Coturnix japonica: one gene and its partners. The protein of the gene in region 1 binds, or shares a complex with, the protein of each later gene. Links are inferred from orthologs where the notes say so. Each region holds a gene or a part of one and is shown in the gene's direction. Other genes may lie near its edges.

Region 1 (4,039 bases):
ATTGCCCTCAGAAACCCTCCATACTGCTTCTTCACAGGCTCTTGCCCTTAGAAAACGCCCTCCATTTCTGCCCCACATTGGCCCTTAGAACCCTCCATTCTGCCCCCAACAATTGCCCTCTTAGCAAAACTCATCCCATTCTGCCCCACAATTGCCCACTCTAGAACCCTCCAATTCCTCGCCCCACATTGCCCTTAGAACCCTCATTCTGCGCCTCACATCCTGCCTTAGAACACTCCCATTCGTGCCCCACATTGGCCCTTGACAACGCCTCTCATTCTGCCCCACATTGCCCTTGACAGACCTAGCAGTGACTGCCCTCACAATTGCCCCTTAGAACCCTCATACCGCCCCACATTGCCCCTTAGAACCGCCTCCATTCCTGCTCACATTGCCTTAGACCTCCATACTGCCCCACATTGCCCTTAGAACCCTCCATACTGCCCCACATTGCCCTTACAACCCTCCATACTGCCCCACATGCCCTTAGAACCCTCCATACTGCCCCACTTCCCTTAGAAACCCTCCATTTCTGCCCCCATTGCCCTAATGCCCGTCCATATCTGGCCCCACTATTGGCCCTTTAGAACCCTCCATACTGCCCCACATTGCCCATAGAACCCTCCATACTGCCCCACATTGCCCGCATAGAACCCCCATATACATGACCCTCACGATTGCCGCTACAAACTCCTCCCATAACTGCCCCGACATTGCCCTTAAACCCTCTCATACTGGCCACACATTGCCCTATGAACGCCCCCATACTGCTTCGCCATCGCCCCTAAACACCCTTCAAACAACCCCATAGAACCCCCAACACCCTTCAAACACCCCATAGAACCCCAACAACCTTCAAATCACCCCCCTATTATGATAACCTTCCAACTGCCCTTAAATGCCCACTTTGATTCTCTCTTCCCATTGCCCACAGGATTTCTCCAGAACCCTGTATCCCCCCCCGGCCCGTACAATATCGTTCTCGCGGCCCCGCACCGAGGCGGGAGGCGTGACAGATGAGGGGTCAATGGGCAAAGTCCCTGCCACAACAAGATGGCGGCCGGCACTACCTCACCATATAGCCACCGCTGCCGGGTTTTGAGCCATAACCAAGATGGCTTCCATGGTGTTTCCTGTATACACCGGAAGAGCTTTACTCGCTGTCGCTCTGCGCCGGAAGAGAGGCTGCCCAGTTTCCGGTGTGCGCCGGAAGAGACGCAAAAACGGTGGAGGGGGAAAATGGCGGAACAGCGCGAAAGGGGCGGCCCGGAGCAGCGGGGCCGGGCGGGAAGGCGCTGGACGGCGGAACAGGTGGCGGGGCGGGGTTTGGGGACGGACAGAGGGACGATCCCGGGATCCCAGCGGTGACATCCCCGGTGGTTGTGGTTGTGTGGTTGTTTGAGCAGGTGGTTGGCTCGTTCAAACCGGTTTACGACAGGAACAGCGGCGGCCTGGCGTCCCAACAGGCGGCGGAGCTGAGCTGGAGCTCAACGAACACGGGTGGGGGGGACATCGGGGGGTAACGGGACGGGGGGGGGGGGGGTGGGGCTGGGGTTAGGGGGATGGGAATGTGGGGTTATGGGATTATGGGGGGGTTGTGGGGATATGGGGTGTGGGGAATATGGGGTGGTGGATATAGGGGGGGCGTGGGGACACGCGGGAGGGGTGTAGGGGCATGGGGGGGGTACGGGATATGGGGGGGGGGTGTGGGGACATGGGAGGCGTGGTGGGGGAATATTGGGGGGGTGTGGAGATATGGGGGGTTGGGGGTCATGGGGGCGGTACGGGGATATGGGGGTGTATGGGATATGGGGGGGCGTGGGGGGTATGGGATATGGGGTATGGAGACTGGGGACATGGGGGGCTATAAGGGGGAACATGGGGGTAGGGAAATATGGGGGGTATGGGGACATGGGGTCATGGGGGGGTGTGGGACATGAGGGAGGTACATGTGTATGGGGGTGTAATGGGAGACATGGGGAGGGTGTGGGGATATGGGGGGGGTGTGGGGATATGAGGGGGGTACAGGGACATGGGGGGTATGGGGCTATGGGGAGGTGTGGGGACATGGAGGCATGTGGGGATGGGGGTGTGGAGATATGGGGGTAGGGGTTTACATGGGTAATGGAATATGGGGGGGGGTATGGAGACATGGGGTCCATGGGGGTGTGGGGACATTGGGGGGAGTAACGGTGATATGGGGGTGTATGGGGACATGGGAGGGGTTAATGGGGACATGGGAGGGGGGTGTACGGGGATATGGGTTATGGTGACATGGGGCCAGTAGGGGGGTTATGGGTCATGGGGGTGTGGGGGGAACAACTAGGGGAGGGTATTTGGGGTCATGGGGGGTGTGGGACATGGGAGGCTACAGGGATATGGGGGGGTATGGGGACATGGGAGGCTACAGGGATATGGGGGGGGGTACGGGGACATGGGGGTGTGGGGACGTGGGGGGTATGGGGATATGGGGGGTACGGGGAACATGGGAGAAGTATAACAAGAATGGGGGGTGCGTGGGGGATGTTGGCATTATGAGACATGGGAGGAGGTCATGCGGGGAATAGTAGGGGTGTGGGGACATGGGAGGGCATTGGGGACATGGGGTGTGTGTGGGGACATGGCGCGCGGTATGGGATATGGGGGGTAAGCGGGAGCTTGGGGGGATTGTGGGGACATGGGGGGTATGGGATATGGGGGGTGTGGGGACTTGGGGTTAGGGGGGCAATGGGGGGGGTACGGGGATATTGGGGGGGGGGTGTGGGGACAATGGGGGGGTATGGGGAACGGGGGGGGGTATGGGGACATGGGGTCTTTGGGTGGGGTAGCCGGGGACATGAGGGGTACGGGGATATGGGGGGGGGTGTGGGGACAGTGGAGTGGGGGACATGGGGTGTGGGGACAATGGGGCCCAGTTGTGGGGACATGGGGGGGTATGGGGACATGTTGGGGGTACGGGGATATGGGTAAGCAGTGGTTGGGGGCACCTGGGCAAATGGGTGAGGGGGGAAAAAAAAAGGGGGGGAAAAAAAAACGGGGGACGTTTATGGAATAGGGGCAAGCAAGGGAATGGGGGGGGGCACGGAGGACATTGGGTACCAAGGAGGGGTGGGCAGCAGAATGGGTTTGGGGGGATACTGAAGGGAATGGGAGGGTAATGGGGGTGTAAGGGCGTGGGCTGGGAGAAAGATGGGGGTTGGCAAAGGGATATGGAGGGGGGGTGGTAACAGTGAATGGGGGAGGCATTGGGATAGGGGGAACCAGCGGGGGTGTGGGTGTCAGTGGGATGGGTGTGTGAGGGACGTTGTAAGGGGGGGGGATGTGGGGGGATGGAAATGGGTGTGTGGAAGGTGGGGGGGGACAGTACGGGGGGGGGGGGACGCTGGGGTGTCACTGGGTGTGTGAGGGACACCAGGATGAGGAGACACTGATGTGTCGGGGCACGTTGGGGATATGAGGGGGGACAGTGAGGATGTGGGGGGGGGTCATCGAGTATGGGGGGGTGACTTGGGGAGGATGTGGAGGGCGTATTGGTTGGAGGATAGGAGCTGACACTGGGGTGTGGCGGGGCTTGCATGGGGGGGGGGGCCTCCCTGGATGGAGGAGGAAACATATGAGGAGTGGTGGGAGCGACGCTGTGATGAAACGAGGGATCTGGTTGAACGCTGGGAGCGCTGCAGGGTTGACGGGGGCTGACGGACCCCCCCCCCCCCAACAGCCTCGTGATTGAGACGCTGCGGGAGGTGGATCCCACACGGAAGTGTTACCGCATGGTGGGGGGCATCCTGGTGGAGCGCACTGTCAAGGAGGTGCTGCCCGCACTCGAGGGCAACCGAGAGCAGGTAACTCCAAACCCCCCCGGCACCCACAGACCCCTCCGCTCCCTCCCATAAAGCCCCTAAAGCCCCTCCTCTCTCTCCTCCCAGATCAGCAAAATCATCGAGTCGTTGAGCCAGCAGCTGCAGAGCAAAGGCCGCGAGCTGAACGAGTTCCGTGAGAAGCACAACATCCGCCTGGTGGGCGAGGATGACCCCCGGCA
Region 2 (4,163 bases), on another chromosome or scaffold:
TCTTTCAGAGTAGATACAAGGAGAAATTTCTTCTCACTCACTGCCCAGGGAGAGGTACAGACACTATCCCTGGAGGCTGTTCCTTGACAGGCTGAGGGAGTTGGGTTTGTTCAGCCTAGAGAAGAGAAGGTTGCGGGGTGACCTCATTGCAGCCTTTCAATACCTGAAGGGAACTTACTCCCAGGAGGGGAGTAAACTCTTCGAAAGGGCTGATAATAGCAGGACACGGGGAAACGGTTTTAAGTTAAAAGAGGGAAGATTTAGATTGGATGTTAGGGGGAAGTTCTTTACTAGGAGAGTGGTTCGGCCCTGGAACAGGCTGCCCAGGGAGGTTGTGGATGCCCCGTCCTTGGAGGTGTTCAAGACCAGGTTGGACGGGGCCCTGGGCAACCTGATCGCCTAGTAAACGCGTTGGTGATCAGATTTGGTGGCCGCTTCAGCTCAGGCGAGGGGGGTTGGAACTACAATGAATCCTTAGAGGTCCCTCCAACCCGGCCGTCATTCTGTCGATTCTGAATTGACGCATACCCAGAACGCCGTGCGCCAGATGTGGTAACTGCAGGGATGGTGGCAATCAGGCCATAGTGCCATGGGTCCGTGGTTGGATATTACGATGAAACACTCATGGCAATCTTTCCAACCTTAACTAATTCCATGAGTCATCTCCTCGCCCAGAATCTACCAACAGAGAAGAACGCACTGGATGGCAGCCAGGCTCTGAAACGCCCTCTGAGATTTCACAGCATTTCCACCCCAAGCACTGATGGACCACATAAGAGGTGCAGTAACACTACAGCAGAGCCCACAGCCATGGTGGTGGGAGATCTGTTACATGAGGGAGCTCTGAGGGTGTGGAGATGAGACACGACCCCCCGAACAACTGTTTTCCCCCCTCAGTTTATCAGTACTCTCGACGTGGGGAGGAGCTGTCCGTCGCTATATTATACTGTTATAAAAAAGGCGAAGTTAAAGGCTCAGATATTGCCGTGGGCACGTAAAACGTAAATAACTGCTGGTTAAAAATTAACCAGCAGTGGTTAAATTAACACACTGGTAAAGGCAGGACGACAGCAAAGCCCACCCAAAGGCTCGGCCCCTGCTCGGTCCCGGCCCATCTCCCCACACCCACCCTCCCCCGCACCTCGCCGCCGCACGCCGGACCGCTTTGAGTCGAGAGCGCAGCCGACGGAATGCGGCGACAGACGGCCCACACACTCTCAAATATGTATCGCCAGGCCCGCCGCTGCAGCTCGTCCGGTGAACAGGTCACGCCTAACCGCAGACACCATCACAACAGCCGCGCGAGGCGCGGCAGACGCAGGGCCAATTGACGAGACGCGCGGGAGCGGGGGAGCCCGAGGAGGCCGCGCGCCGGCGTAGGCCTTGGTAACGCGCGGGCCGCGTGATGCGCGGGTGGACGTGAGGGAGAAGGGAGACCCGTGGCGCCGATGAAGATCGAGGAGGTGAACCGAGCAACCTGCGACAGACGCATCCGCGGCAATCCGCAGCACAACAGCCTGTTAACTGGGCCCTCCGGGGGCTGCGACGAGACGGCGGCACTCCGCCAAACCGGCGGGCCGCCGCGCCTGGTGCGGACAGGAGAACGCGCGGGAGGTGAGAGATGGGCCCCTGCACCTGGCGCACTGCTCGCGGGCTGGCACGGCCGCCGATCATAGAGCGCCAGGCCCGGGCTGTGAGATTCGCCCGTTACTACTCGCTGGATTGTCGGATAAACGATCTACAGGGTTTTAAGGCTCCACTTCAAAGATTGGTGCCCGTGAGGTGGTGCAGGGCCCAGCCAAGTCCGCCTGCTCCGCTCGCGACAGGCCGGGTGGGGGTTTGTCACAGAATGACCCGGGTTGGAAGGGACTGGACTCAAGGATCATGTTTCAACCCCCTGCCGTGGAAGGGCCACGCAAAATCATATATCACCTTTACTAGATCAGGTTGCCCCGCAACAGGTCCGCCGTCAGCAACGCTGGGTCACTTGACAAGCACCTCCAAGGTATGGGGCAGTCCACAACCTCCCTGGGCAGCCTGGTTTCGCAGGGCCCTAACCTGAACTCTCCTAGTGAAGAACTTCCCCCTAACATCCAACCTAAATCTTCCCTCTTTTAACTTCAAACCATTTCCCCGTGTCCTGCTATTATCAGCCCTTTCCAAGAGTTTACTCCCCTCTTGCTCTGTTTTTAGGCTTTGATACCTGCGTGCAGCTCTGCAAGGGGAAAAAGATCCCCAGCTCTTTGGTTTGAGTTCTGTTTGATTTATTTCTTTAATGTGCCAGATACAGGGACTGCAGGAAGTGATTTCTTTCTTACCTCACTCCTATGTATAACATTGAACTGCAGTTTAATTTTGGCACCTCAGAAGATCAGTAGTTCTAAACACTTCTAGTATCACTGGAATTAAATGTATTTTAACAGTACTCTTGTTAATGGTGCCAACCCTTATCCTGCAGGCTTGTGGGGTTATAGTAGAGCTCATCAAAAGCAAGAAGATGGCTGGCAGAGCTGTCCTGTTGGCAGGACCTCCTGGAACTGGCAAGGTATCCTGATATTTTTATTTTCCTTTTCTTGCAAGAAATAAAACCTTCTGAAATCCGCTGTAATTTAACGTGCTGCCACAAGCATTTTAGAATAGCGGTTATATATTGTCTTCATCTGCTGTTGTGTTTTTTTTCCTCCATTAAGGTATTGACACAGTCTCCTGTTTTGTGTTTAATTTTTGCCACGTCATTAGCACTGGCAGCATCCTCTGGTTTGTGCAGCCATCATTAGTGCGAAAGCACCTAATATAGGTTGCCAAACACAGAGGCAGGACAGTTTCTGATTAGTCTTATAAGTTAATTCGATATTAAAAGCCTAAATAGTTATTCTTTTTAGTTGTTTTTCCCTTTCCATCTCATTTCTATAAGATGTTAAATTCAGAAGTCCACTATCATTCCTTTACAGTGTTTATAAGTCATTGGTAGAAGTCACCTTATGCGTGTCTAATTTGTTTTGGTGGGAGATGTTTGTTATATGTGAGAGATGTCAGAGCAGTTATAATATAGTATATATATGTATATATATATATAATACTATAGTATAGTAGTAGTAGTTGATAGAGTGAAGGTGATACGATGAGGAAAGTTAACTTAGTGCAGAAAGAATCCTCATAAAAATGAAATGCTTAATTTCTTTTTCCATTTTTAAAGACTGCCTTGGCTTTAGCTATTGCTCAGGAACTTGGCAGTAAAGTTCCCTTTTGTCCTATGGTTGGAAGTGAGGTCTATTCTACTGAAATCAAGAAAACAGAAGTTCTGATGGAAAACTTCAGACGAGCAATTGGTAAGTTTCAGAAAAACAGAAACGTTTTTATGTGATACTTACATTGTTTTTTCTAGTGATCTGAAAAGGAAAAATCTTGGTGGTCACGGTGGTTTCCAGAACATGATGTGAACTTTTCTTCAATGCTGATCTTAAACTGGGGAATCTCTCCCACACTTAGTAGAGTCAGTAAGGTTTTCTGGATATAAATGCTTGTGTCCCACAGATATTTTTACTTACTCTCCTCCCCCAGGATCTCTTCTTGTCCTCCAGGTTCCACCTCCTGATGCCACCTGTGACACTCCAGAAATCTGAAAGAAAATCTGTTTTTAGTTTCTTACATTAGCAGAAATGCTTATAGACAGCAAAATGCTTTCCCTTGTACTTTAGTGATTCCACCTTGCTGAGCAAGCAGCCTTCTCGAGGGGTTCCCAAGTGGCAGCATTAGCCTGGCTCAGTGTTCCAGTGAGCACAGAGGAAGTTCCATGCCAGCAAAATAAATAATATCTTCAATATCTTCCTCAATTCTAGAGTGCTTTTACAAAGTCAACGTAAATTGGGTAAATTTGCAACGCGACCTCACTAAGTAGTTAAAATCTCTTTTATGATCTCTGCTGACAGCTGATAAATGCGGTTAAAATGGCCCTTGTTTGTGTAAGGATTGCCTAAAGATGACCTAACTGAAAAACTGAACTTATTAACAGTTAATTTCCCTGATTTCTCTGCCGTGTTTCCTCTCTGACTTCATCTGAGTATCTGGGGGTGGTGAAGAGGTCTCTCAGTTCTGCAACCAAGTAAAAGTATTCCATTCATTTTCATAAGAAAAACCTTCAGTAGTCTCTGGTCTAGTTACCA
Region 3 (4,261 bases), on another chromosome or scaffold:
ACTACAGCAACCCCAGCACTACTAATTTAGGAGCTTCTTTCCTGTCAGCAAAGTGTGAACTGAGGTCAGAATCAGGTCTTCACTATCACTGATTATACAGTTTTACTTTATACATGTTCAGAACAATGAACTTACCTAACTGGTTTTTGGTTATAAAGAATACAATCAGGAAAAATAAAAATAAAAATAAAAGATTTTTATGAACACAAGACACTTCTGTATTCTTAAGTCCTGCCACACCATCCATATGGCATTTCCTATGTCAGATATCTCTTACACTTCCATCTGCTACAACCTTTCATAGCATCTCAAGCTCTTACTGTACACTTACCAATTTCACTTGCACATGAAGAAATAGCAAGTTGGACCTTGCCGTGTATCAGCCCGTCCAGACGCTCTCCATGCCTTTCCACACAGTGGATTTACAGCAGTCTCCTTCCTTCACTGAGGGCTACACAGGCTGGACGTGCAGCATTTCTGTTCTACTCATAATGTCAGCACTGTCTCACACGATGTGTCGTACTCTTTTAGTCCTACTGTTTAAGTGTATTTTGGAACAGCCAGGTTGAGCCGTCTCATCTCATTGATTCTGTTTCCACACCAAGAAGACACACTGCTACTTGCATCCTAAGCTAAAGCACTACTACTACTTGGAAGATGGCACAGAAGGATGAAGCATTCACTTATCATCTTTGGTTAATGTAGCAAGACAGATAATGAAGGTTCCAACAGAATCATAGAATGACCCGGGTTGGAAGGGACCTCAAGGATCATGTAGTTCCAACCCCCCTGCCTGGCAGGGCCACCAAACATACACCTTTACTAGATCAGGTTGCCCAGGGCCCCGTCCAACCTGGCCTTGAACACCTCCAAGGACGGGGCATCCACAACCTCCCTGGGCAACCTGTTCCAGGGCCTAACCACTCTCCTAGTGAAGAACTTCCCCCTAACATCCAACCTAAATCTTCCCTCTTTTAACTTAAAACCATTTCCCCGTGTCCTGCTATTATCAGCCCTTTCGAAGAGTTTACTCCCCTCCTGGCAGTAAGTTCCCTTCAGGTACTGAAAGGCTGCAATGAGGTCACCCCGCAACCTTCTCTTCTCCAGGCTGAACAAACCCAACTCCCTCAGCCTGTCCTCATAGGGGAGGTGCTCCAGCCCCCTGATCATCTTCCTGTCCCTCCTCTGGACCCTTTCCAAAATCTCCATGTCTTTTTTGTACTGAGGGCTCCACACCTGGACACAGCACAACAGATGAGTAGAGCTCAAGCAGGGGACTAACGGGAAATGTCTCCATGAATCAAAATACTATCAAAGATCCGACAACAAGGCAGCCGGTACTGAAGGAAAATGGTCTCATTGCTCCACAGCCACTACGGCCATAACTCCACCTCAGCCATACGCGCCTAACAGCCGCTCTGCTGTACGCATGCGCAGTCGCTGCAGTTGTTTGGAGCCCACAGCGTGAGGCGCAGCCGTTGTGCGTATATTGCTGTGCGACGGCAGCGGCCGGCACTGCGAGCTGGGGATGTCGCGGCGGGAGGAGGAGGAGAGCGCCGAGCTGGGCCGTAAGGAGGAGCTGAGCCGGAGGGTGAGTTATGGAGGGTCTGAGGTGCTGCCCTGCGTCTCATAGTTGTGTGTGGGAAGGAGGAGGGTGTGCTGGAGGCTGAGCTGCGCTGTGGCCCAGGTGAAGGTGTGGGGGAGCTCGAGTGTTGTGAGCCCTTCTGGCGAGTTCCCTTCCCGTTTTTAGTGTTGTGAGATGGGCTGTGTGTGATTAGTCGAAGGAGAATGTGGTTCTCTGGGTTTGTTGAGCAAGTCGTGAGGGAGTTTAGTGAGGAGGCCAGCTTTAAAGCTGGGCTTTTCGTAGTGGCAGTCTTGTCTTTGTTCAGTGTGAGTTCTGTACAGTCCTGGTCAGTTGTCCTCGCATAAAAAGTGACTTTATTCTTCTACACTAATATCGCAATAGATTAGTGTTGTTCTCTAGTTGATTGGTTACATAAGAGACTAAAGAGAGCAACTGCATCAGCACAACACAGCGTATTAGCTGCGTGGCTGAAATGCCTGGTTCTGCTTTGCATCACAAGACTGCACTGTGTTCTTGTCTGTTTCAATAACTATCATAGTATGCTGTTGTAGCTGTTGGTGAAACAGCATTTTCTCAGTTCAGTTTGCCTTATACAGCCCTGTAGTTATTTCCATCTGCGCCAATTCCAGGAGGCAGAAAGGAGGACCGGAGTAAGGTGTGTTCTGTGCTTACAGAAAGTAGTGTGTGTTGAACCACTTTAGCTTTGTGTTTCAGCTTTTTTGATGGGCCCTGATTGCTCTTTGTCTTTAATGGCTCTTTGTCTTTAGTGGCTGACGTTGTCCAGGGAAGCAGGAGCATTGGACTGTTTGTGTCAGTGCAGCTGAACTGATGGCGGTAGATGCAGCATGACAACTTTGTGCTAAAAGTCCAGTGTACTGGAAGTGTTTCTAATTATCTTAATACAGTTTTGGGGTTGTTTTATACATATTTATTTATTTGGGGGGGGGGGGGGGGGTTATTGGTTATGTAGGTTTTTAATTGTTTCATTTACTGTTTTCATTTTGAATCTGGAGAATAAGATTATAAAGTGTATTGTGTAGGTAAATCTTTTCTCTAAGTTGCGTAATCACAGAATTATCAAGGTTGGAAAAGACCTAGAAGATCATCTAGTCCAACCGTTACCAATACTTCCCAGCTAAATCATATTCATCAACACAACATCCAGACGTTTCTTGAACACTCCCATGGTCGGTGACTCCACCACCTCCCTGGGCAGTGCATTCCAATGCCTGACTACCCTTTCTGAGAAGTAATACTTCCTAATGTTCAGCCTGAATCTCCCCTGGCACAGCTTAAAACCATTCCCTCTAGTTCTGTCATCTCTTACATGAGAGAAGAGGCCAACCCCCAGCTCACTACAACCTCCCTTCAGGAAGTTATAGAGAGCTATAAGGTCTCCCCTGAGCCTCCTCTTCTCCAGGCTGACAAATGTTAATAGTTGTTTATACGTTTGTTTTTTTGGGGGAGGTTGAGGGTGAAGTGATTTTGGATTCTGAGCAGCGAGGAGTACTCTGGCTTCCCAGTAATGACTGCTTTGGGGGGATGGGAACAGTGTCAACCATGCAAGATAATTCCCTTCCAAAGCAGTTATTTAGAGTGCTTCATTGTCTTATTGTTGAATTCATAACTTAGATTTCAATAAGAAGTGTGTTAAATGTAATTCAGTTATGTGGTCCGAAGACTTGTTGTATGCTTGGAATAATGGGTAATGAAATTTCTTTTTCATTCCTGTGTCCACTTTCATTTTAGTGGTCTGTTCAGGGCACAGTGACTTATATTTTTATAGCTGTCTTAAAAACATGGGTAAAGATTTTAATCTCCAGGACTGCAACACAGTAGTTTATTGTTGACAATTATATTGAGATGTGTTTTTTCTCTTTCAGATTAAGGAACAGAAGGTTGTAGTTGATGAGCTTTCGAATTTGAAGAAGAACAGGGTAAGCATTAAAGTTTTTTCTGCTTACTTCATTTTAGCATCAGATAAATTTGTATAGAGGCAAGAGGGCAAACAAAATTGCAGTGAGTACATTATCTTTAGTTGTTACACTAAAGATTTTAATGTGTATATGATCTTCTGTATGGTGTCAAAATGTTGTCTACATCGCTTGAGGGTTTACTTACACTTGTGCATTGTAACAGGAAGCTGTCTCAAGGTTTTACTTTAGCACAATTTTTATATTATGATGTTTGAGTGGATCAGTTTATGTTAAAAGCTTCTTTATTTTTCATGTGCATATGATGTAAAACAAAATATGACCCTTTAAGTATGAGGAAAGGAGGAAAATGCAGAATGGTTGTGGGTTGTTCCTGAAATGTTTTGGTGCGACATGAGGACATTGCTCATGGCAGAGAAGGTATCTTTCAGACATAAAAGGGAAGGGTATCTCAGTGGACTTCAGTGAGTTTCTGCTGCAGTGTGGTTGCCTGTGTATGCTACTTTTACTTAATGTGGTGTTGTATTTATTTTACAGAAAGTTTATAGGCAGCAACCCAATAGCAACATATTCTTCCTTGTAGACCGAACAGAAACACTGTCTCAATGCAAAAGTAAGTTTGCTGCACCAAAGGTAATAGTTCAACTGTTTAAAAGCTGTCTCTGTAGCTGTTGAAGATTTCCAAGTTGTAGTACAGTGGGAAAGCTGGCAACTGCATGTTAAATACCAAGTGGACTTCAGT
Region 4 (4,157 bases), on another chromosome or scaffold:
ACGTTCCCCGGCCTTTGGGCTGCTCCTTCATCCACTTCCACAGCGGGTGGGCGCCGTCCCCATTGACCTCAATTTTACTGAACATATCGAACTTCACCCCGTAACCCTCCGCAAAGGCTTTGATCTGTGCATCATCCCCAGGCTCCTGGGGGGGGGGAAAAACAGGTATCACACGTGTAAACCCCACACAACCCCATATCTTTGCATTGAGGTGCCCACCTGCTTCCCAAACTGGTTACATGGGAAGGCCAATATGCGCAGCCCTTTCTCAGCGTATCGTGCGTGCAGGTCGACAAGCTGAGTGTAATTCACTGCAGTCTTTCCTCATTTGGAAGCCACGTTGGTGATGATGCAGACGAAACCCCTGGAGGGGTAAAATAGGGGGTAAAAGGAACCTCTGTGGGGGTAAATGGGGTAAAATAGGGGGTAAAAGGAACCTCTGTGGGGGTAAATGGGGTAAAATAGGGGGTAAAAGAAACCTCTGTGGGGGTAAATGGGGTAGAATAGGGGGTAAAAGGAACCTCTGTGGGGGTAAATGGGGTAAAAGGAATCTCTGTGGGGGTAATATGGGGAAAATAGGGGGTAAAGGGGGTGAAATAGGGGGTAAAAGGAACCTCTGTGGGGGTAAAAGGGGTAATATGGGGTAAAATATGGGGTAATATGGGGTAAAATAGGGGGTAAAAGGGGTGAAATAGGGGGTAAAAATGGGGTAAAATGGGGTAAAATAGGGGGTAAAAGGAACCTCTGCGGGGGTAAAATGGGGGGGGGGGTATATAATACAGCCCATTGCTGTGTTGCTGTATGGTACATATAATGTCTCTATAATGTCTATATAATGTCTATATAATATATATATCTAATAGACCTGTATTGCTCCAAGGCCACGTCTCGGCCGTCGATATCCGTGGCGTGGAAGTCATAGATGGAGGTGGCCGATCGCCATTCATCCGCCTGCGCGCACTGCGGGGCCCAGCGGTCACAAAGCGGCTCCGAACCCCCCCAACCCCCCCAGTACCGACCCGGTTCGGTTCGGTTCGGTTCTGTTCTGTCCCCCCCCACTCACCATTGTCCGCCCCGCTCCTCTCGCCGCCGCCGCCCCGCACAGCAGCGCCCGCCCGCAACGCCACCCCCACCCCATCCCGCCACCGCTCTCCCCCCCTTTGACCAATCAGCGATTAGGACGCGCGAAGGCACCGCCCACTTCTTGCAGTTGCGCAATGCGAGCCGCTCCCTTGGGTGATAGACAGGCGAAACCACCAATCAAATCAGCGAGGCTGCTGCAGTGTCAACAAGGGGGTGGTGTCCTTCCGCCATTCCACCCCGCCTACATCTCCCAGCGTTCCCCGCGGTCAAGGACCCCTCGCAGGGCAGCCCCGCCTGCTCGTTGTGGACAGGCATTGAGGCGGGCAGCCTCGTGGGGTCCTTCAGGAGGCAACATGGACGACGAGGAGGAGACGTACCGGCTGTGGAAGATCCGCAAGACCATCATGCAGGTGCGGGCCGGCCCGGTTCGGTTCGGTTCGATTCGGTCCGGTTTCAGGTCTCATATGTTGTATTTCCCTTTAGCTGTGCCATGACCGCGGTTACCTGGTGACTCAGGACGAGTTGGATCAGACGTTGGAGGAGTTTAAAGCTCAGTTCGGGGATAAACCCAGCGAAGGCCGCCCGCGCCGAACGGACCTGACCGTGTTGGTGGCACATAACGATGATCCCACGGACCAGATGTTCGTGTTCTTCCCCGGTGAGAAACGGGGCCGGGTCGGAACCGGGTCAGAAACGGGCTGGGACCGGGTTGGGACTGGGTTAGAACTGGGTTAGGACCAGGTTAGGACCGGGTTGGGACTGGGCTGGGTCTGGGTTAGAACCGGGCTGGGACCGGGTTTGGACCAGGTTGGGACCAGCTTAGAACCGGGCTGGAACCAGGTTAGAACTGGGTTGGGACTGGGCTGGGACCGGCTTAGAACCAGGTTGGAACCGGGTTAGGATCAGGTTAGAATTGGGTTAGAACCGGGCTGGGACCGGGTCAGAACGAGGTTGGGACCGGGTTAGGACTGGGTTAGAACTGGGCTGGGACCGCGTTAGGACCAGGTAGGGACCGGGTTAGAACCGGGCTGGGACCGGGTTAGAACTGGGTTAGAACCAGGTTAGGACCGGGCTGGGACCGGGTTAGAACCGGGTTGGGACTGGGTTAGAACCGGGCTGGGACCAGGTTTGGACCAGGTTGGGACCAGCTTAGAACCGGGCTGGGACCGGGTTAGGACCGGGCTGGAACCGGGTTAGAACTGGGTTGGGACTGGGCTGGGACTGGCTTAGAACCGAGCTGGGACCGGGTTAGTACTGGGCTGGGACCAGGTTAGAACTGGGCTGGGGTCAGGTTGGGGTCTGGTGGTGCTCCTGGTTCAATCTCACCCTGCTCTTTTCCTCCCTCAGAGGAACCCAAAGTCGGCATTAAAACCATCAAGATGTATTGCCAGCGCATGCAGGAGGAGAACATCACGCGGGCTCTGATCGTGGTGCAGCAGGGAATGACCCCATCGGCAAAGCAGGTACAGTGTGATGTGGCCCCGGGGCTCTTTGAGCTGTGCTGGGTCCATAAAGGCAGAGTTCAGGCTCTGTGCCTTAATACTGGGCTTATACATTGAGTGCACTGAGCTGGTGCTGGTTGGGCACAGAGATCTGTTTCCTCTCTGCCCATATGACCATATCAATGTGAGCACAGACACCGTGTTGCCCTCCTGCTGCTGTTCATCTTGGGGCATCTCTGAGCTCACACTGTCTCATATCAGTGCTACAACCTGATGTGCTTCTCCCTTCCCAGTCCTTGGTCGATATGGCTCCCAAATACATCCTGGAGCAGTTCTTACAGCAGGAGCTCCTGATCAACATCACAGAACACGAGGTGAGTGATTCAGGCCGGCCCTCCCAGCCCTGCCCTGTGCTGGGTTTCCCCACCAGAGCTTTGTTCCTCCCCCCAAGTCTTGCAGCTATGCAGAGCTGGTTGCTTTCTCAGACTCTTATGATCTCTCTTTCTCTCTCCTGTTTACAGCTGGTCCCAGAGCACGTTGTCATGACAAAAGAAGAAGTAACCGAGCTGCTGGCCAGATAGTATCCTTTGTTTGGTCCTTCCCTTGCAGTCAGGGTGTGATGAGTGCTTGTCTTGGGCAAGAAATGGATTCCTTTGAGTGTGTGATGTTCTGTTAGCTGTGCCCTGCCTCAGGACAAGCAGACACAGAGCTCCTCCTTGACTCCATGCAGTAAGCTGAGGGAGAACCAACTCCCCAGGATCCAGGCTGGGGATCCTGTGGCCCGATACTTCGGGATAAAGCGAGGCCAGGTAAGAGCAAATAGCCTGATAACAAACAGCAGGGCCCTGCAGGCAGGATGGGGAGCTGCAGCACAGTGTGTCAGAGCTTGGAGATGGGAAAGGTTTCCTCTTTGTTAGTGTTTTTGTTTCTGAACGTTATGGGTTATGTAGAGATGTGTGCAAGGCAGCAGATAGCCCTGGGGCCAGGCTTGGCTTCCTGCTGAACCAGCTGCTGTAACACCAGCCATCCCCCATTGCTCCTTTTGCTGCCCTTCCAGGTGGTGAAGATCATAAGACCGAGTGAGACCGCAGGCCGTTACATCACCTACAGGCTGGTGCAGTGATCAGAGCTCTCAGGTAATGTGTGAGATCCCCATCTACGGGCAGTGCTTTAAACTTATGCTGTGGTTTTCTAGGGGTGACTTGAAGTGAGTTGGCTCTGGGAAAGGATTCCCTCCTGATTTGCGAAGGGAACTGTATGGGATGGATCAGAGCAAAGCTATACTAGGGTTTGGTGCCTCAGTATCACAGCTGAAGGCACATCTCAATGTTCAGAGCAGCAGCAGGGCTTTGCTTTGAGAGCAGCTGCTGAGGGAGACATGAGCTCATTCACGTCCTGACTTATTTCTTCCAGTTGTGAAAGAATTCTGTGACATCTGATCTTCCCACCCACCACCAGCTCTCAGCTGTCTGCATTCGATGGCTGAGGAAGTTCTCTGTCCCTGCTGCCCCCCTGCAGTTGTTTTCCTTGTCCCAGTTCCTCATTTCCCAGCACGGATTTTGCTGCAAATCCTTCTGCTTCAATCAGGAACGCCATGAAAACACCTCGAAGCAACTGAATGACACAGGGAAG
Region 5 (4,297 bases), on another chromosome or scaffold:
TAGTGAATTTGGTTTTTCCACCTTTCCCCGCTATTCTCCCTATTGCTCTGGACAGGTGATCTCCCTTCAAAGGTTTGACTAAAACAAGAACAAAGTACTCAATCAATTACGCTGTGCTGCGTATCCTCCGTGACATTTCCTCTATTCAAACAAAGGGAAAAGCAGCAATTAACACATGTTGAAACACATCAGTTTTAGATGCTGCTCTCCTTGTGTCCAGCTCCAGGTTCTCCCCATAGACAGTTATGCCATGTATTGGCATCGGGGTTTTCCTGATCCCCAAAGTGACACACGTGGAAAAGAAGGAAAGAGCAAAGAAGTGCTCAGAAGTGAATGGCTGCTTGAGTAGCACAGCAGAAACTACTCACCATCCGTAACTTCAAATGATTCCAGGAAGAGATCATCTAATCTGATGAGAGCGAGAGCGTCCTGCAACATTCAGAGTCACCATCAGCCTGAGCACTGCAGCACTGTCACACACAAGTTCTTTACAGGCCCAAACAGATCAAATCAGTCACGTATCTCCATTTGACGCATCAAACATCAGTTTTAACTTCAAACATTAAAGAAAACCACCCTGAAGTTTTCTGTTTCTTGATGTCATGTCCAGAGTGCTTGAAGATATTGAGCAATAGCACAACCCGGCCGCTGGGAGACTCACCTCCACCTGGAAGCCGAGTATGAAGGCTTTGACAAAGTCAGCTGCTTTGGTCAGAGCACTGAGGTCTTTGGTCTCAGCACAGGTCTGCAGAACGAGAAGATACGTTTCTATGTTATCAGGCAAACGGAATCAGGACTTGGAAAGTCAGTGAGATAAAGGCTGGCTGTATAAAAGAAAGCCAAAGCCACGTTCGTGTAATGCCACCTCCGCATTGTGTTCTACTGAAAGCGCAGACCAGTAGTGTATGTTGTGCTTAAGACAACAGGCTGCCCAGAGAGCTGTGGGTGCCTTGGAGGTGCCCAAGGCCCGGTTGGGCGGGTTTCAATGAAACACGAGGGATGAGAGGAACGTGAGGACACACAGCACAGCGCTCACCTTGATCTCCACGTTCCTGGTCTTTAAGTTAAACCTGATCTGGAGCTGCAGGTGCTCCACGATGGGCGTGAATATCTTCATCCAGTTCTCCTTCAGCGGCGTGTACCTGTTGGCCGGTACCGGCACCTTCCTCACCTCCCCTTTCCCCACCTGCGGACAGATGGGCGCTGAGCGGACACGTGCAGCCCGTCCGCCCCATCCCTCCGCCTCGGCGCCGCGCTCACCCCCATGGCCGCGGCGGGCAGCGGTGGGAAGGCGGGTCTCTTGCTGGGCTGCGGCCCCGCCGCATCCACCGCCTCCATCGGCTCCGCAGCCGCCGCTCTCCGCTTCCTCCTGCCGCGCTTGGAAGCCACGCTGGTGAAGCCGCTCCCGTTCTCATCCGCTTCAGACTCCATAGCGTGGCCCTCCGCCGGAAAAGCCACCGCCACTTCCTGCCCGTCCCGCCGTCCCTTCCGCTTCCTGCGTTATCCGCGTCGCTGCCGTCGCTCGTTATGTCGGCGGCGGGGCTGGACCGGCCGCAGGTGGTGGTTCACGTGCAGCAGCCGCTGACTTACACCGTGTTCGACTGCAAGTGGGTGCCGCGCAGCGCCCGCCTGCTGTGCCTCGGCAGCGCCCCGCGAGGCACCGGCCTCATCCAGCTGTACGAGCTGCGAGCCGGGCGGCTGCTGCTGCTGAGCGAGGTGAGCGGGGCGATGCGGGGCGGCACCTCGTAGGCCGAGGGGTTTAACGCTTCATACGGTGCCGACCGTGTCCTTTATCTGCAGATCGAAAAGGCCAAACCGATAAAATGTGCCACCTTCGGGGCAGCCTCCCTGCAGCAACGGCACCTGGCGACAGGGGACTTCGCGGGATGCCTCAGCATCTGGTGGGTGTGTGATTCCTTACAGCGCTCCTGGCTACTGAAGGCAACGCTGTGTTATCTGTTTCTCACATAGGAACTTAGAAGCTCCTGAAGTCCCCGTGTACTCCGTGAAAGGTCACAAGGAAATCATTAACTGCATCGATGGGGTCGGAGGCCTCGGAATTGGGGAAGGTGCCCCAGAAATTGTGACAGGCAGCCGGGATGGTGAGTGGGAGAGAGCTGAGCTGCTCAGTGACATCCCTGAACTACAGGCTGTGGGCACCGAAATGGAGGGCGGCCCTTTGGGATGAGCCTCCTCTGCTTCCTTTGGGAGCTGGAGAGGAGGAACATAAAGCAGAACAAATACAAAATAGCAGCTAGACATCTTATACTTTCCCTGTGCTTTTCTGTTTGTATTATGTTTCATTTCTTCCTATACACTGACATAGTCTGGAGGCGTCAGGCTGCCTTTCCCTGGGAAACCAAGAGTGGTGCATCAGTGCATCTGTAACACTGATGGCTTTGCTTTCCTTAGGAACTGTGAAGGTGTGGGACCCTCGGCAGAAGGAAACTCCTGTTGCCAACATGGAACCTGCGCAGGGAGAGAGCAAGAGGGACTGCTGGACGGTGGCCTTTGGTAACCAGTCTGATAACAGCCCCCTGTAATGTCACTGCGTGTTGACAGTAATCAAACCACTGAAGGCAGGGTTTGTTGTTCGGTGTTATCACATCTGTGTCTTTGCACTGTGTTTTAAAGGCTGTCTTTCCATCACGTTTGGTGGTAGTTGGCTCAGGCATTGTTTTCTTACCATCTCTGCTCAATCACTTCACAGACAAGCTTTATTCTTAGGCATTTTTACAGCCCTAGTGTGGGAATTGAACATTTCTATGTCTAGGAATGTAAAAGCAAAGAAACCACTTTGCCCTGGAGGGGTCTAACTGTGATTGTGCATGGAGAACCAATATCTGCTGATGACATTAAGACATTAATGTAAGAGACAATCCCCAGAGCTAACGAAAGACAGCAGAGATGCTTAACTTGTGCTCTTGAATTCAGGATGCTTGAGCCCAGGCCATGTCCATCCCAAACTCTGTGCTCTCAATTCATTAAATCCTACTATATGATGCTTTGCTGGCATAAATCTAAGTTGAAATTGCTGACTTAAGAGGTCTCAAATTTACAGCCTAAGAGGGGTTTCTGTGTTGTGATCAATTCTGTCTCTGTGTCCAGGCAATGCTTACAATCAAGAGGAACGTGTAGTATGTGCTGGATACGACAATGGGGACATTAAGTTGTTTGACTTAAAAGCCATGTCACTGCGATGGGAGACCAACATTAAGAACGGGGTAAGGTGCTGTGGAAGCAGGGCTTCATTCCAGCTGTGGTGTGTGTCTGTTTACAGGCAATCGCGTTATTGCCGAGTTGGTGAAGCTGTTGTAAGAATAACCAATGATTAGATACGTGTCTGCAAATCACACTCACAAATATATGCTTGTAGCAGTGGCTGAACGTATTGGTTTCACTCTTTGCAGGTTTGCAGTGTGGAGTTTGACAGGAAAGATGTGAACATGAACAAGCTGGTGGCCACGTCACTGGAGGGAAAATTCCATGTCTTCGATATGAGGACTCAGCACCCAACTAAAGGTTTTGCTTCTGTTTCAGAGAAGGTAATGGGGAGATGGATCATTCCTTTAGCAACATGTAGTACAGGAGTTTGTACAGAACTTTTGTCCAATGCTGGTTGTTTCCTAGGCACACAAATCCACCATCTGGCAGGTTCGGCACCTCCCGCAGAACAGGGATGTGTTTATGACGAGCGGAGGAGCTGGGAGCCTTCATCTCTGGAAATAGTAAGTGATCACTGTCTGCTCTATAACAGGGGAATAAGGAACCAAAACAACTGTTTATTGTTTAAAGAAAGAATCATTGTAAAGATGGTGCGTGGGGACTCACTTCCAAGCTCAGATATGATGGATATGATGGCTCGCTATTTTGAAGACATTTGTCTTATCTTGAGAACAGAGGAGACCTTTCTGTGCTGTCTTTTAAGAGCAGGATGAGATTCCTGTTTGTCTCAGTTTTCCTTTCCTTTCTGCCAGCGAGTACCCGGCTCAGCGCTCAAAGAAGGACTCGGAAGGAGCTGAGATGGGGGTGGCAGGTTCTGTCAGCCTCTTGCAGAACGTGACTCTGTCAACACAGCCCATTTCCAGCCTGGACTGGAGCCCCGACAAAAAGGGGCTGTGTGTTTGTGGTGCCTTTGACCAAACTGTGAGGGTACTGATAGTTACTAAGCTTAACAAAGTGTGACAGGAAAACTGGGATTGCTGATGAGAAAGCAATACAGTTTGACGTCTGTACATACGGGAGGGAGGGACCTATTGTCTTTAATCTAATTTCTCCCTTTTTAGAACTGGATTAA
Region 6 (3,276 bases), on another chromosome or scaffold:
GCAGGCAGGCAGGGAGGGTTCTGAGCTGCATAAATGAAAGTGATTCAAGGAAGAAAGAAAAAGGAACGTGCTGAAACCCAGACCTTCCCTTTACGCCACAAAATACAGACAGATGCAAACCATCCCATAGCAGCGAGTGGATGACCACATGCTCTGTCTGCACAGACAGGTTCCCAGGAGGGCACATAAACATGCAATCAATCTGAACGAGCCTCCAGCCTTCAGGCTGAGTCCAGCTTCCAGGCAAGCAGCTTTCCTACGGCGCCGGGTCCAGGAGAAGGAAGGCTGTGATGATTTGCATCTGGCTCAGGGCCTGCTGTGGGAGAGGCCTGCAGAGCATGGCACCAGCAGCCATCGTTGCCTTGGGAATGTTTTCCAGGTGCCCAAAGCTTTGTGATGCCTCCTGCCACAGCTCAGCTGCAGCTCTCATGCAACCCTCTGTGTGGCCACGGTAAACCCACAGCCTTTATTTTGCTGTGAGCTGCTGAGTAGCACTGCCTGCTTCAGGGGTGGACATCAGGCTTCTCTCTGCTACTGCTATCACGTAGAATGTGATGGCTCGAGGTGGAAGGGACCTCAAGGATCATCGAGCTCCAAGTCCCCGCTAGGACGGGGTTGGATGCAGACGGGCAGTGCTCATTTCCACCACTTCACTGGGCACCTTCTTCTTTCAGCACACTCTGCCACAGACCGAGATCTCTCCCGTTAACTGTCACAAACGACTTTACGAGATTAAGGCCGGTAATCTTCCGATCTGCTTAATCTTCCTCTGGGGATTATTTGCGCACCAAGAGCTTCGCTCCTGGCAGCCACAGAACCACAGAACACCCCAGGATGGAAGCAATGACTGAACCCAACCCTCAGCTCCACCAGGGGAGCCCTGAAATCTCACCCCGTGTTTCAGAGCCGCCCCACAGCACTGCCCGGCCGATTCACATACAGAACCACAGAATGAGCCGGGTTGGAAGGGACCTCAAGGATCATGTAGTTCCAACCCCCCTGCCTGGCAGGGCCACCAAACATACACCTTTACTACATCAGGTTGCCCATGGCCCCGTCCAACCTGGCCTTGAACACCTCCAAGGACGGGGCATCCACAACCTCCCTGGGCAGCCTGTTCCAGGCCCTAACCACTCTCCTAGTGAAGAACTTCCCCCTAACATCCAACCTAAATCTTCCCTCTTTTAACTCAAAACCATTTCCCCGTGTCCTGCTATTGTCAGCAATTGACACTGCAATTCCCGCAGTGTCCACACGGGGGCGCTCTACGCGGAACTCCGGATCGCGGCCGCTGCTGCCGCCCGGCGGGGAGCGGGGATGGGACGGGGCGGAGCGGCCCGACATGGCGCGGGACCCAGCGTTTGTGCTGCGCTACCTGGCCGAGGTGGAGGAGCTGGCCGAGGACGTGCTGGCCGCACGGCAGCAGGTGAGACCCGACCCGGTTCGGCCCGACAACCCCCGACCCCCCCCTTTATCCCCATCCCCTCCCGTCTCTTTGCAGATCGTCGATCTGGACGTGAAGCGGAACCGGAACCGCGAGGCGCTGCGGGCGCTGCTTAAAGACCCGGAGCCGGACGGTGAGTCCCGGAGCTCGGCCGGGATCGGGGCGGTGTGTGCGGGGCACAGCGCTGAGCACGGCTGGTCCTCACTGCAGGGAAAGCCATGGTGTGCTTCGGGAGCACCTTCATCGAGCTGCACAAGGCCAAGGCCAAGGAGATGCTGCAGAGCGGTACGGAGGGATCTGCTCACCCCGAGGAGCTCGGAGCTAAAACAGAGCAATGCTGCCATCCTGCCCTGCTCACACAGCCCGGCAGGGTCTCTGTTGGTCCCTTGTTCAACCCCAGTCCCCATGTCATGGGTTAACCCCCCTTATTCTTGCCCTGCTATTTTCAGATCAGGAACAGCTGGATGAGGAGATAAACAACCTCCGGAAAGAGCTGCGTGTGAAGGTCAACCGTCTCTTTGAAGCTCAAGGTAAAACACTCCTGGTCTTGAACCCCAACAGCAAAGGTCTGGCTGCAGATGCTGGGGAGAAGTCAATGTGTGAGTGCTGCCGGGGCTGCTCCTCCTCTCACTCTGTCATTCCCTCCCTACCCTGGTAAAGCTGTCAGCCAGCAGCGTGCTGGATACACACAGCAACGACCAGGGTGGATAGTAGGAACAATTGGTTCTCCATCACCATCCCTGCAGGCATCCCAGCACCGCAGGGATGTGGCACTGAGGGATGTGGGCAGGGTTGGGTTTCATGATCTCAGGGCTCTTTTCCAACCTTCACGATGCTGAGAGCCATCATTGCTGCGTGGTTTCACATGGAATGCTTCATGTGTCTTATAGCAAAACCCCAACGTTCTGCACATCCCTACAGGTAAACCTGAGCTGAAGGGATTTAACCTGAACCCCATGAGTGCAGAGGAAATGAAACTGATCAATCGCATCCTGGAAGGTTGAGACAGCCCTGCCACCACCACAACCGTGTGCAAGCACTGCTCAGCCTGCGGTGGTCGGGTATCACTCACAGCATTTGCACTGCATCAGACACAGCCTGTAGGATTTCCAGCTCTCCTGCATTGCTGGAGCCTCTCCTAAAGAACCTGGTGGGCACAGGGAAGGATACAGCTCCTCAGCTGTAATTCTGGCTGTAAACTCTCCCCACTCCTTGCTGCCGGTGGCAGAGCAGTGCTGAGGCAACTGCTGGAACAGTGGCTTATTCACAGCCTCTGACAAACACCCGCCTGCAAGGGGGATTATTAAAACCAGCACTGTGGGGCATTCCTAACTCTGTGTGTGTGTGTTTGTTGTTGGGTTTGTTATGTGAGAGCTTCTGTAGTTTGGCTGCAGAGCGAGTTCACTGCAGTGTCAGGAACAGAAGTAGGAGGAATTGTAAATGTACAGCGTGCCCAGAGTATAGAAGAGCTGTGTGTGCCTGTGGTATTAAAATGAAATGAAACCCGTGCATCTGAAACACGTCAGGAATCTCCTGAGAGATGCGTAGGGAGGAACAGAAGGCAGCAGCGTGTTTGTCTCAATGGGAAAACACAGGCTGCTGTCAAGGTGGGAGCCAAGAGAATACAGAAAAATAAGGCTCTCAAAACAGGATGAAAGAATAAAATGGACACATATTAGCAAAAACTGCAGCTTGAACAGGCTGGATTTGGCCTGTAGCAATGGGATAACTGATTTAAGTCATAATAGTTTTGGCAGAGGTCATAAAATCAGCTCTGGCTCTCCAGGTAGCTCATCTGCTCTCCACTTCAGGCTTAAGTTAGAGATGCACAG

What was found.
Region 2: PFDN2 (region 1) and RUVBL1 share a complex: the UniProt entries of both Homo sapiens proteins name them as parts of the PAQosome complex. The link is inferred for Coturnix japonica from reciprocal best matches to the Homo sapiens genes PFDN2 and RUVBL1.
Region 3: PFDN2 (region 1) and ASDURF share a complex: the UniProt entries of both Homo sapiens proteins name them as parts of the PAQosome complex. The link is inferred for Coturnix japonica from reciprocal best matches to the Homo sapiens genes PFDN2 and ASDURF.
Region 4: PFDN2 (region 1) and POLR2E share a complex: the UniProt entries of both Homo sapiens proteins name them as parts of the PAQosome complex. The link is inferred for Coturnix japonica from reciprocal best matches to the Homo sapiens genes PFDN2 and POLR2E.
Region 5: PFDN2 (region 1) and WDR92 share a complex: the UniProt entries of both Homo sapiens proteins name them as parts of the PAQosome complex. The link is inferred for Coturnix japonica from reciprocal best matches to the Homo sapiens genes PFDN2 and DNAAF10.
Region 6: PFDN2 (region 1) and PDRG1 share a complex: the UniProt entries of both Homo sapiens proteins name them as parts of the PAQosome complex. The link is inferred for Coturnix japonica from reciprocal best matches to the Homo sapiens genes PFDN2 and PDRG1.

The regions. Positions count from the first base shown.
Region 1 is NC_029540.1:2,483,396-2,487,434, forward strand, and holds the start of PFDN2 (prefoldin subunit 2), read left to right. Parts: upstream 1-1,239; coding exon 1,240-1,311; intron 1,312-1,438; coding exon 1,439-1,500; intron 1,501-3,718; coding exon 3,719-3,842; intron 3,843-3,926; coding exon 3,927-4,039. UniProt on the Homo sapiens protein: Binds specifically to cytosolic chaperonin (c-CPN) and transfers target proteins to it. Binds to nascent polypeptide chain and promotes folding in an environment in which there are many competing pathways for nonnative proteins.
Region 2 is NC_029527.1:7,146,614-7,150,776, forward strand, and holds the start of RUVBL1 (ruvB-like 1), read left to right. Parts: upstream 1-1,363; 5' UTR 1,364-1,614; intron 1,615-2,458; 5' UTR 2,459-2,497; coding exon 2,498-2,545; intron 2,546-3,196; coding exon 3,197-3,329; intron 3,330-4,163. UniProt on the Homo sapiens protein: Possesses single-stranded DNA-stimulated ATPase and ATP-dependent DNA helicase (3' to 5') activity; hexamerization is thought to be critical for ATP hydrolysis and adjacent subunits in the ring-like structure contribute to the ATPase activity.
Region 3 is NC_029522.1:4,422,936-4,427,196, reverse strand, and holds the start of ASDURF (ASNSD1 upstream open reading frame protein), read left to right. Parts: upstream 1-1,461; 5' UTR 1,462-1,528; coding exon 1,529-1,591; intron 1,592-3,468; coding exon 3,469-3,522; intron 3,523-4,056; coding exon 4,057-4,132; intron 4,133-4,261.
Region 4 is NC_029543.1:2,009,030-2,013,186, reverse strand, and holds the start of POLR2E (DNA-directed RNA polymerases I, II, and III subunit RPABC1), read left to right. Parts: upstream 1-1,357; 5' UTR 1,358-1,436; coding exon 1,437-1,493; intron 1,494-1,566; coding exon 1,567-1,741; intron 1,742-2,430; coding exon 2,431-2,546; intron 2,547-2,818; coding exon 2,819-2,899; intron 2,900-3,046; coding exon 3,047-3,105; intron 3,106-3,255; coding exon 3,256-3,334; exon of another isoform or gene 3,335-3,582; coding exon 3,583-3,648; 3' UTR 3,649-3,661; intron 3,662-3,938; 3' UTR 3,939-4,157. UniProt on the Homo sapiens protein: DNA-dependent RNA polymerase catalyzes the transcription of DNA into RNA using the four ribonucleoside triphosphates as substrates.
Region 5 is NC_029518.1:372,912-377,208, forward strand, and holds the start of WDR92 (WD repeat-containing protein 92), read left to right. Parts: upstream 1-1,497; 5' UTR 1,498-1,527; coding exon 1,528-1,716; intron 1,717-1,800; coding exon 1,801-1,901; intron 1,902-1,971; coding exon 1,972-2,102; intron 2,103-2,412; coding exon 2,413-2,514; intron 2,515-3,108; coding exon 3,109-3,224; intron 3,225-3,410; coding exon 3,411-3,545; intron 3,546-3,630; coding exon 3,631-3,728; intron 3,729-3,977; coding exon 3,978-4,185; 3' UTR 4,186-4,297. Other genes in the region: RNA-binding protein PNO1, read right to left, coding at 1-78, 369-429, 662-745, 1,037-1,186, 1,261-1,431. UniProt on the Homo sapiens protein: Key assembly factor specifically required for the stability of axonemal dynein heavy chains in cytoplasm.
Region 6 is NC_029535.1:8,958,246-8,961,521, forward strand, and holds PDRG1 (p53 and DNA damage-regulated protein 1), read left to right. Parts: upstream 1-1,268; 5' UTR 1,269-1,342; coding exon 1,343-1,426; intron 1,427-1,501; coding exon 1,502-1,577; intron 1,578-1,654; coding exon 1,655-1,729; intron 1,730-1,893; coding exon 1,894-1,974; intron 1,975-2,365; coding exon 2,366-2,448; 3' UTR 2,449-2,776; downstream 2,777-3,276. UniProt on the Homo sapiens protein: May play a role in chaperone-mediated protein folding.